Oryza sativa Japonica Group: one gene and its partner. Each later gene encodes a partner of the first gene's protein in a complex. Links are inferred from orthologs where the notes say so. Each region holds a gene or a part of one and is shown on either strand. Other genes may lie near its edges. The genes, in order: sister chromatid cohesion 1 protein 3 and sister chromatid cohesion 1 protein 1.

Region 1 (4,335 bases):
CTCATCTTGTACTGGTTGTGCGTTCATCTCATCTTGTACTGGTTGTGCGTTTATCTCACCTTGTACTGGTTGTGCATTCATCTCATCTTGTACTCGAGGTGGAGATGGTTCAATCCTAAAATCAGGCATTCCTAAAATCACAGAAGGAAAAGAACTTGGATGAGAAGACATGTTTAACATCAAGGGAAAGTACATTTTACACAACATTCTAGCATCCCACATAAGTAATGCTGGTGGAATTGCAATGTAGTCTTATTTCTATTAGGTCTTATGAAAAAATGAAGGCAGAAAACAAAACTGGAAAGAACAAGATGAGTCAACAAGCAAAATACTAACCAATATCCATTGGTATAACATCTTCTATATTGTCATATGTGGTGCTTGTACTTCCTCGTGCATTGGGAATGGATGTCCCAGATAATCCACCTTGACCAGGGGATATAGTTCGTTCCAGTGCCGGAGGGGTGATATTCTTGGACACAAATGGTGAAGATTCCTCAGTCACATCCATGGGATCATTGTTTACCTCATCAATATCTGGCAAGTTAAGTTCAGGGCCCTCAAATGGTGCTTCACGCATTATTTCAGGTAAATCTGGTGCTTTATCTGCCTGATTTATGTTACTGGTGTTCACTGCCTCCGAGTTGTTGCCTTGGGAAGGATCTACGGAAATTTCCTCATCCATATTGTCACTTGGCCCAAAATCGATGTGAAATGGAGGCAATCTCCTGATAAGCAAAGCGGACATGAGTCCACCAAAATAGAAATTAGAAGGAAAAAAAACATGACACGTACTCTTCGTCAGTTGGTTCAGGTCCCATGTGTGAAGATTGTCCAGGAGCTGATAGCTCTACTCTAGCATCCTACACAATTTATAAGCACAAATATTAAAAAACATGCAAACTAAACAAGCCTGCAAAAAGCGCAAGTCAGTGAGGAATACCTCATCAAGATCAATCATCAGATAGTCTCCTTCTGCAGCACCAAAATGAAATCATTAAGCATCCGCATTGGAATGATAATAATACATATATTGACTAATTGAACTTCGTATACCAGCCAGGGTGATCTGGTCCAGACTCTTCCGATGATTATCTGGCGTACTGTCAGAAAGTTAACACAATAATATTAGTTGAGGTTGTATGACGCGGAGAAAATATATGAGAAGAAAAGTACTCACTCTATCAGACGAATTGCATCATCTAGGTTTATGTCATCAAGACGGAATGTATCAGGCAATGTGATGGTGTCAAAAGGCGCATGATCCGCATGAAGGGGCAGATCTACTTGTACAGAAGCGAAGGCGGTTCTGATTGTGCTTAGCATCCGGTTACAGTCATGGAAGAGGTAGTTTACCTTCCATGAATAAATGCGAACTAGACCTAGAAGAAGATGCCCTGACAACCTCAGAGCAATTGGAACTTCAGGGAACATGATAAATTCTGAAAAAATAAAACTCATGCATTAGAAGACATGGCATTAGGTTGCAGAGTAAAGCATAGGGAAAATTCAATGTATATGAGAAAATTGTTCAATACTTAACTAAGGAAAATATGTAACCTATTTTTCTCAAAAATGCGGGAGGACTGAACTTCATTTCTTTAAGAAGAAAATAGATAGAAAAAGAGGAGGTTAAACTGACAAACACACCCAAGAACACGCTCACGTGCACAACACCTAAGGGCGACACATGACCTCACTAAGCAAACACAAACTAATTGCCAAGGGTAAGCGACCTGCAGAAAAATGTGACCTATTCAGCATGCCATTATAATACAAGTTCTTGCAAAGCACAGTTCGAAGTTGAAATAAAAAAAATTGTCACACTTTCCTCCCAAAGAGAATAAAAAAAACTTCCCATAGAGTATAGACATCTATGCCCAAATATGCAATATTAATCCAGTTGTTTTACTTCCAGTCAAAAAACATGTTTTGTTCTAATAAAATTCCATCAGTAAGCTTCCTAAACATAAGGCTTATCTACTTTGTTCTTGAGTTTGCAAGGTTAAATATGTAAAGTTAATCACAGAATAAAGTAAAAACTGTTACATAATGTACTAAAAGAACAATGCAAGCACAACAAGCCAGTTTATTTGTCAATGTTCTATGATTTGACTGGATAACATATAAACTTATTTGTGTAATTCATATAAGTAGAACAAACATATATGAATTACTCTTCAAATAGAGTGGCTCAAGTAGGCAGTGTTCCACCGCAAGTGATTATACTGTACTGGGAGGTAAAAAATTGGGTTTGGTCGTTCTTTTTTTTTTCTTCCTTCTGGATATGCAAATGCTGTCATTCTTGAAATGTTTAGCATCCAAATAGGGCCTGCAAAAATCCACCCAAAAGTCTCCGGTGCACACCCCACCACAACCTCCCATAACTAAAAGACCAAATTTTGTTGTATCTTTTGTCATTAATGAATAATCATGCCACTAGAACAATCATTTACACGAAATTCTAACTGATAACCAGATAAATACTGCGAACCCCTAGCAAAATGCTCTAAAAAAAACTATCCAAACCTTCTTCCTTCCTGTCCCAAATTGCAGAATGCAGATTGGGATCCAAATCTCTGTACCATCACTTGACCCCATTGCTAACCCCAAAACATTTTTCACTCACAACTCCGGAACAAATCCCAGTTGCACGGAGGAACCAAAAAAAAAAAAAAGCTTATCCTTTCTACCCCCGCCGCCGCTGAAAGGCGCCGCCTTTCTACCCGCGCAGCAACAACAAAGGGGAAAAGAAAGAGCGCGTCTTTGGGAGAGAGGGGAGGGGAGGGCTTACCGGCGTAGGAGGGGATGTCGATGCCGTCGATCTGCGGCTTCTTGATCTTGCGCTCGAGGTGGGCGGCGATCCACACCGTGCCCAGTGGGCTCTTCCGCGCAAGGATCGTGTGCGAGTAGAACATCGCGGCGGCGTCGGCTGCCTCCTCCCTCCTCCGTCTCCTCGGGGTTGCTCCTGCGGCGGCGGCGGTGGCGGTGGTGGTGGCGGCGCACGGAGAGGGAGGGGAGGGGGATGAGATGAGATGAGATTTGGGGGGGGAAAAATAGAAGTTTTGGATGAGAAGGAGTTTTTGGGAAGGGGAGTGAAGCGGGAAGCCGCTTCGTATGTGGAGTCTTTTGGCGCGCGGATTTCGGGAGCAGCGGGCGGGGTGGTAGGGTGGCTGACAGGTGGGCCCTAGCAGGTGGTTGGTTTTGGAATGTGGGGGAGTTATTTTCGTGGATGTTTTGCTTGTAGAATACTAGAATTTGAGGCTTTTACATGCCGAACGAATTTGCTGCGGTTGTTTCCCCCCATTTTACCGCTGTGGCGTGCATCAAATTACCCTTTCTAGCTATCCCCGCAAAAGAGAAAAGGAAAAGTCTATACATACTACTCCCTCCATTTCACAATGTAAGACTTTCTAGCATTGCTCACATACATATAAATGTTAATGAATCTAAACACATATGTCTAGATCCATTAACATCTAAATGAATGTGGGTAATGCTAGAAAGCCTTACATTGTGAAACGGATGAAGTAAATTTTATCTTACTAACAGTCTAACACTATGTCTCATGCTGTGAGTATATCTAGAATTTCTATAACTTCCATCTATTTAAATTAGATGGTTGATATTATTGTTTGAGCAGCATTGCTGTAGAGAAAATTACTCTTTCTATTTTCTAATAAACTAGTACTATGATGATTTCGTTCGCCGGATCACACATAGTTCGATGTTTGATGACCGTTCATTTTGTTTTTGGACATTATAATTTATTATCCACACGGGATTTTAGTTTTTACCATTTTTCCCTAAAAAAATTAGTTAATCTCACCTCTAACGCCTAATGTCTTGTGCCTTTATATCTTTGTAGATCTAATAGCGTAGAAAAATCTTACCTGAACAGCAATAGAAGAGGAAAAATAAAAGCATGAGTCTTCATTCACAGTGAAACAAGATGCAATTTGTACCCTTCCGTCCAAAAGTCTTAAACATATTTTTCCTAACGAGATGTGCATATCTATAGCCTCCATGTAACCTAGATTTAAATGAAGATGTTGTCTTATTATTTTGTTCCAAAAGTTTTAAGCATATTTTTTTCTAATGAGATGTGCATATTTATAGCCTTCATGTATCCTAGACTTAAATAAAGATGTTGTCTTATTATTTTGTAGTGCTGAATTATTGGAACTCAAGCAATTATCTTAATACTCATTGGTTATATGCATACATAGGAGTAATCCTTAGTGTTTGTTATATGCAAGATGAGTTAATTTTTCATTAATCCCATTTAAAAAGTAATATGCCCTTAGGCTTTTGGATTGAGAGAGTACAAGTGAG
Region 2 (4,540 bases), on another chromosome or scaffold:
ATGGTTTTCTTGTTGCTGAGGAGAGTCTTCCTGCCTAGGTGGAGAAGGAACCAGATTACTTGGAACCTGTGGGTGTCCATCAGGAGTGACATTGAAAGTTGCATCATCATCTGTTATGTCGAATCTGGTGACATTGTAACATTGCTCAATGAATAATTGTACTGGCCAAAATAAGGAACAAGAAGTGCAAAAAATGAATGGTAGAATAAGAGAAGAATAAAATTTTGCTTCACCTCTCAAAACGATTGAACACATCAGTCTCTCCAAGCCCAGACCCGAAATTATCAGCCAGGGTGATATTTTCTGCATCAGCTGAGATAACATATTTCAGTCAGAAAGTACACCTCTTAAGCAACCACAAAGAGTAATTCATAAGAAAAGAAATGAAAACCTTGGTGATGATTCTCAGCGCGCGAGAAGTCATCATCGTCTAGGTTGACATTAATGTATTGGTCATCCAAATCCTCCAAACGCTGCACATGCATGACGGATTTCAGAGGAATAGAGACAATCTGGCAAAAGTCAGGAGACTGAAAGCAAGACTATCTCGTGGTTATTGCTCATAACTTAATGCCATCTTTCAATGCATACAATCAGACACCACCGAAATATACATATTACAGGGATTACCATTCCCCGGAACCTTGTAGTATCAGCCTCTGAGAAAAGCATGGGCTGCTCCACATCCATATCCATGATATTCTCTGGCAGTGTTACTGCTTCATACCTGCATGAAGCCCCAAGTTTAGATGAGCAAACCATTACTGTTTTACTCTTGGTACAAAATATCATTCTCCATCCACCAACTTATACCCACTCTATGCTATTTACAAAAGTAAGTTGAAAAGACCCTTGGGATACAATCATTCAGAGGAACTATCCAGGACTCCAAGAGGGTTAAACTCATTGCAACAGTACAGGTATCAACATCACGTGAACATTGCAGTAACTATCGAACATAGTTCCGAAGGGATCAAGGGGATGATGGCACAGCCACATGGTTACATATCAGATGCAGGCCACAATGGAAGGAAATGGTACACCCACAAGAGTCAGTCCTTCGAGCATGATACAAGATTAAGAAATGTTTGCCTCCGGTTCCCAAAGGTGATGGAATTCCCTAGACTCTAAGATAGCAACATTTCTCAAGTACCAGACGGCCCTCAGACCTGCTCCCTTGGCACCAGTAACTGACACCCAAGAAAAAGTCAAATGTTCATCCCCATAAAGCATGTATCGCTCACTGACAATGCCTGCCTAACTGCCTAATGCCCTTCCAGTTTTTTTTTCTTGAATATGCAAGAGAGTTGTATATCATTTCATTAAGAGAGGAGGAAACACTGTGGGGAAGCAAAAGCCCTTCATCACCCTACAAATGTAGAGGACCTACATATACTGGAACAACATACAGACAAATTTATGCTGCCAGGAAACACAGATCATTTGTAGAATAGTACTCCTGCATAATACAGACATCGGCTGCTACCAAAGTCAGCAAGACAACAAGAGGCAAGTAACAGCAGGGTCCCATGAACCGCCAATAGACAACAGGTAGAACAGAACAATCAGTCATATGACAACATCAGGTACATCTGAAAACATAACAATGTACTATGCTGCAAGGAGATAGTATCATCATAAAATCAACATTACACAGATGCAGCATGTTCTAATCAGAACCAAGTAAGCTGATGACATATCAAAACTTGCAACTGTGTCAAATGACGAGTCCATCAGATTAGCATCGGATGGTGAAAATCACACACAAACTCACAATCCCTGGCAGCAGGGAAACAAAAGCAAACTCCCCTCGGTCACCAACATAATAGCATGTTCTTCAATCTTCCCTCGAACCCAAAACCGTGCACAGAACATCTAGAAACTTCTAGTCCTAGAAGGTCATGGAAACAAAGAGGGCACTTACTTGGCTTGGGTTTTGCCCTTGGGAAGTACGGTGGGGTCTGCGACTGGCTTGACCCGCCATGCCTCGTTGATCTCAATCTGTGTGAGGAGTTAGTACAAGCGTAATCTGAACCATGTTAGCATAGACAGGCAAATGGATCAAGGAGGAGGCACCAAAATTAGGTGAAAATCGAACTCGAATTTTACCAGAAACCGAGACACATCATCTGCGAAGAAGATCTCACACAGTTTGAGTCTATAACGAATCCAAAAAAAATGGAAACAAAAGAGAAGCAATCAGGGAGCAACTCACCATACAGAGCCTTCACCTTCCTCTCGTACACGATCGCCACACCACCTACTCACACTCCCACGACGCAAGCACCCACATCAGAAAATATCACCAAACAAATGCGATCGGAACTATGGAGACAACAAGCAAACTGGACTCACCCATGAGAATTCCGGAGAGCCTTAGTGCCATGGGTACCGACGGGTTCAAAATCTCCTCACTAACCCAAAAACCACACGCACAAAATCCCCCCAAAAAAAACCGTCAAGTTCGAAACGAAGAAATCAGAGACAACTGGATTCGGACTAATTCGCTCACCAGATTTTGATGATGTCGAGCTTGTCAAGCCGCTTCCGGTTGATCTTCGAGTGAAGCGTCGCCGCCATCCTGCGAAAAAAAAAAGCGGAGTAATCAGCGGCCTAATCAACTCCAACCAAGTGGCGAACATTCGGATTTCGGAGCGGAACGAGCAGAGAAATCGCAGAAAACAATATAGAACGGAGCACCGCAGAACGGCGCATGAGAAGAGAAGCCGAAAGGACGCGATCGAGAGGAGCGGAGAGCGAAGCAAACCCACCATATCTGGCCGAGCGGAGCCTTCCGCGCGAGGAGCTGGTGCGAGTAGAACATTCTCGATCGTGAGGAGGGAGGGAATGGATGAGCGAGTGAGAGTGGAGGCGCTGCGCCGCTGCGGCGGCGGAGAGAGCAGGTGAGAGGTGGAGTGGGGTTTTTGCGATGGTTGCGTGGGGTGGGAGTTCAGACCTCGGAGAGAGGAAGAAGGGAGGGAGGTTTGTGGGGGAAGAAAGACATCAGGGGGGCAGATCGGTGAAATGTTTTGCGCGTAAAGGGTAGTCTCGGTAATCCACCGCGCCGGAGCCACTCATGGGCCAAGGCCTTCCGGGGCCAAAATAATTTTTCACTATTGTCTCCCCGAATAAGTCCATTAACCGTACCCCGTCTTCACTCGAGTTTAATTGGCATTCCTAAAACACAATACCAAAATCCTTTTACCCTTCATCCTGTCAAAACCGTCCAAATCAAATACCATGATAGTATGAAAGACTTGTTTCGCTCACGTGACATCCTAGTCAGCAAGAAATATTAAAAAAACATGAGGAGTCCACATGTAAGTGAGAAGAAAAATATGTGAGCCCACATATCAGTGCTCACTTCTTTCTCTTCTCTTTTTCCCCAAGGAATAAGTTCACTTTGGGTCCCTCTATTTGTCGCCTAATCCGATTTTTGTCCCTTGACCGCAAAACCGGATATGACCTGTCCCTCAACTTACGAAAACCGGGCAAACGAGGTCGCTCGGCGGTTTTGATAGCGGTTTTGGCTGACGTGGCGCCTACGTGGCTAATTTAACTCGGTCTTCATCTGACATGGCACTGACGTGGCGCTTACGTGGCAATTCGATTCGGAAAAATAATAAAGTCTGTGGGACCCATATGTCATTTTCACACATAAAATAATTATAAAAAATAGTGGAACCCACGTGGACCCCACGTGTCATACTCACCTCCTCATCTTCTTCCTCCCTCTCCATCTCCCCTCTCTCCATCTCTCTCCTCTCCTCTCCAGCCTCTAGGCACCATGGCTCACGGGGTCACGGGGAGGTCCGGCGGTGGCGGCCGGCAACGCCACAGCCGCCGGCAGCGGCGAGCTCCACCTCTCGGCGCAGCCGTGCAGCCGCGCGCGTTTCTGACCCCACGCGCGCGTGGCTGTTTGACGGCGTGGGCGGCACGGATGGATTCATGGATCTAATCCCGCGCCAGCACGTAGCCCCCCTCCCCCCCCCCCCCCCCCGCGACGCGACGGCGACAGCTGGCGATGTTGCTCTCACGCCTCAGCTCGCTGGGGTTTTGAGTTTTGACAACCGGAATGAACTTTGTTCCAATGCAGTTCTTGCTAATAATGCCTTTACCTACTCACCTCTCGTCAGTAACCGGTAATTGCTAATTGCTCACAGATCATCACTTAGCTGCGGATGGCCATCATTAATTCTCAGTGTAGCACTATGTTTTTCGCAAGTCGCAATGCAACAGTGTATGAACTCTCGAAGCCTGTAAATTACTCCCATGCATGCATGGATCGCTTGTCGATCGATTAATTAATTAAAAGGTCTTGTGCTGCATCATCTACATCATGGCTAGGCCGTAGTACATTGTGTAAGCACAGGACTTGTACAGTTTCTTTCATGCAGTCAGTAGCATTTACACGCGTACATTAGTACGAGTACTCAATTGACGGTAGCTCGTATGATTCAGCCGATGAGTCAGATGGAATCGATCGCCTAATCTTGAGTTCTTGACCCCTCTTCGACGCCGATGATCGATCGAGGCATCG

Evidence for each region.
Region 2: sister chromatid cohesion 1 protein 3 (region 1) and sister chromatid cohesion 1 protein 1 share a complex: the UniProt entries of both Arabidopsis thaliana proteins name them as parts of the cohesin complex. The link is inferred for Oryza sativa Japonica Group from reciprocal best matches to the Arabidopsis thaliana genes SYN3 and SYN1.

Annotation. Positions count from the first base shown.
Region 1 is NC_089042.1:10,216,151-10,220,485, reverse strand, and holds the start of sister chromatid cohesion 1 protein 3, read right to left. Parts: upstream 3,089-4,335; 5' UTR 2,919-3,088; coding exon 2,795-2,918; intron 1,443-2,794; coding exon 1,181-1,442; intron 1,104-1,180; coding exon 1,057-1,103; intron 976-1,056; coding exon 944-975; intron 864-943; coding exon 796-863; intron 729-795; coding exon 337-728; intron 132-336; coding exon 1-131. UniProt on the Arabidopsis thaliana protein: May be involved in sister chromatid cohesion during mitosis.
Region 2 is NC_089039.1:29,073,435-29,077,974, reverse strand, and holds the start of sister chromatid cohesion 1 protein 1, read right to left. Parts: upstream 2,960-4,540; 5' UTR 2,825-2,959; coding exon 2,772-2,824; intron 2,582-2,771; coding exon 2,513-2,581; intron 2,415-2,512; coding exon 2,356-2,414; intron 2,261-2,355; coding exon 2,216-2,260; intron 2,130-2,215; coding exon 2,110-2,129; intron 2,002-2,109; coding exon 1,925-2,001; intron 728-1,924; coding exon 631-727; intron 474-630; coding exon 392-473; intron 313-391; coding exon 234-312; intron 125-233; coding exon 1-124. UniProt on the Arabidopsis thaliana protein: Involved in chromosome condensation, pairing and segregation during meiosis. Responsible for cohesion between replicated sister chromatids.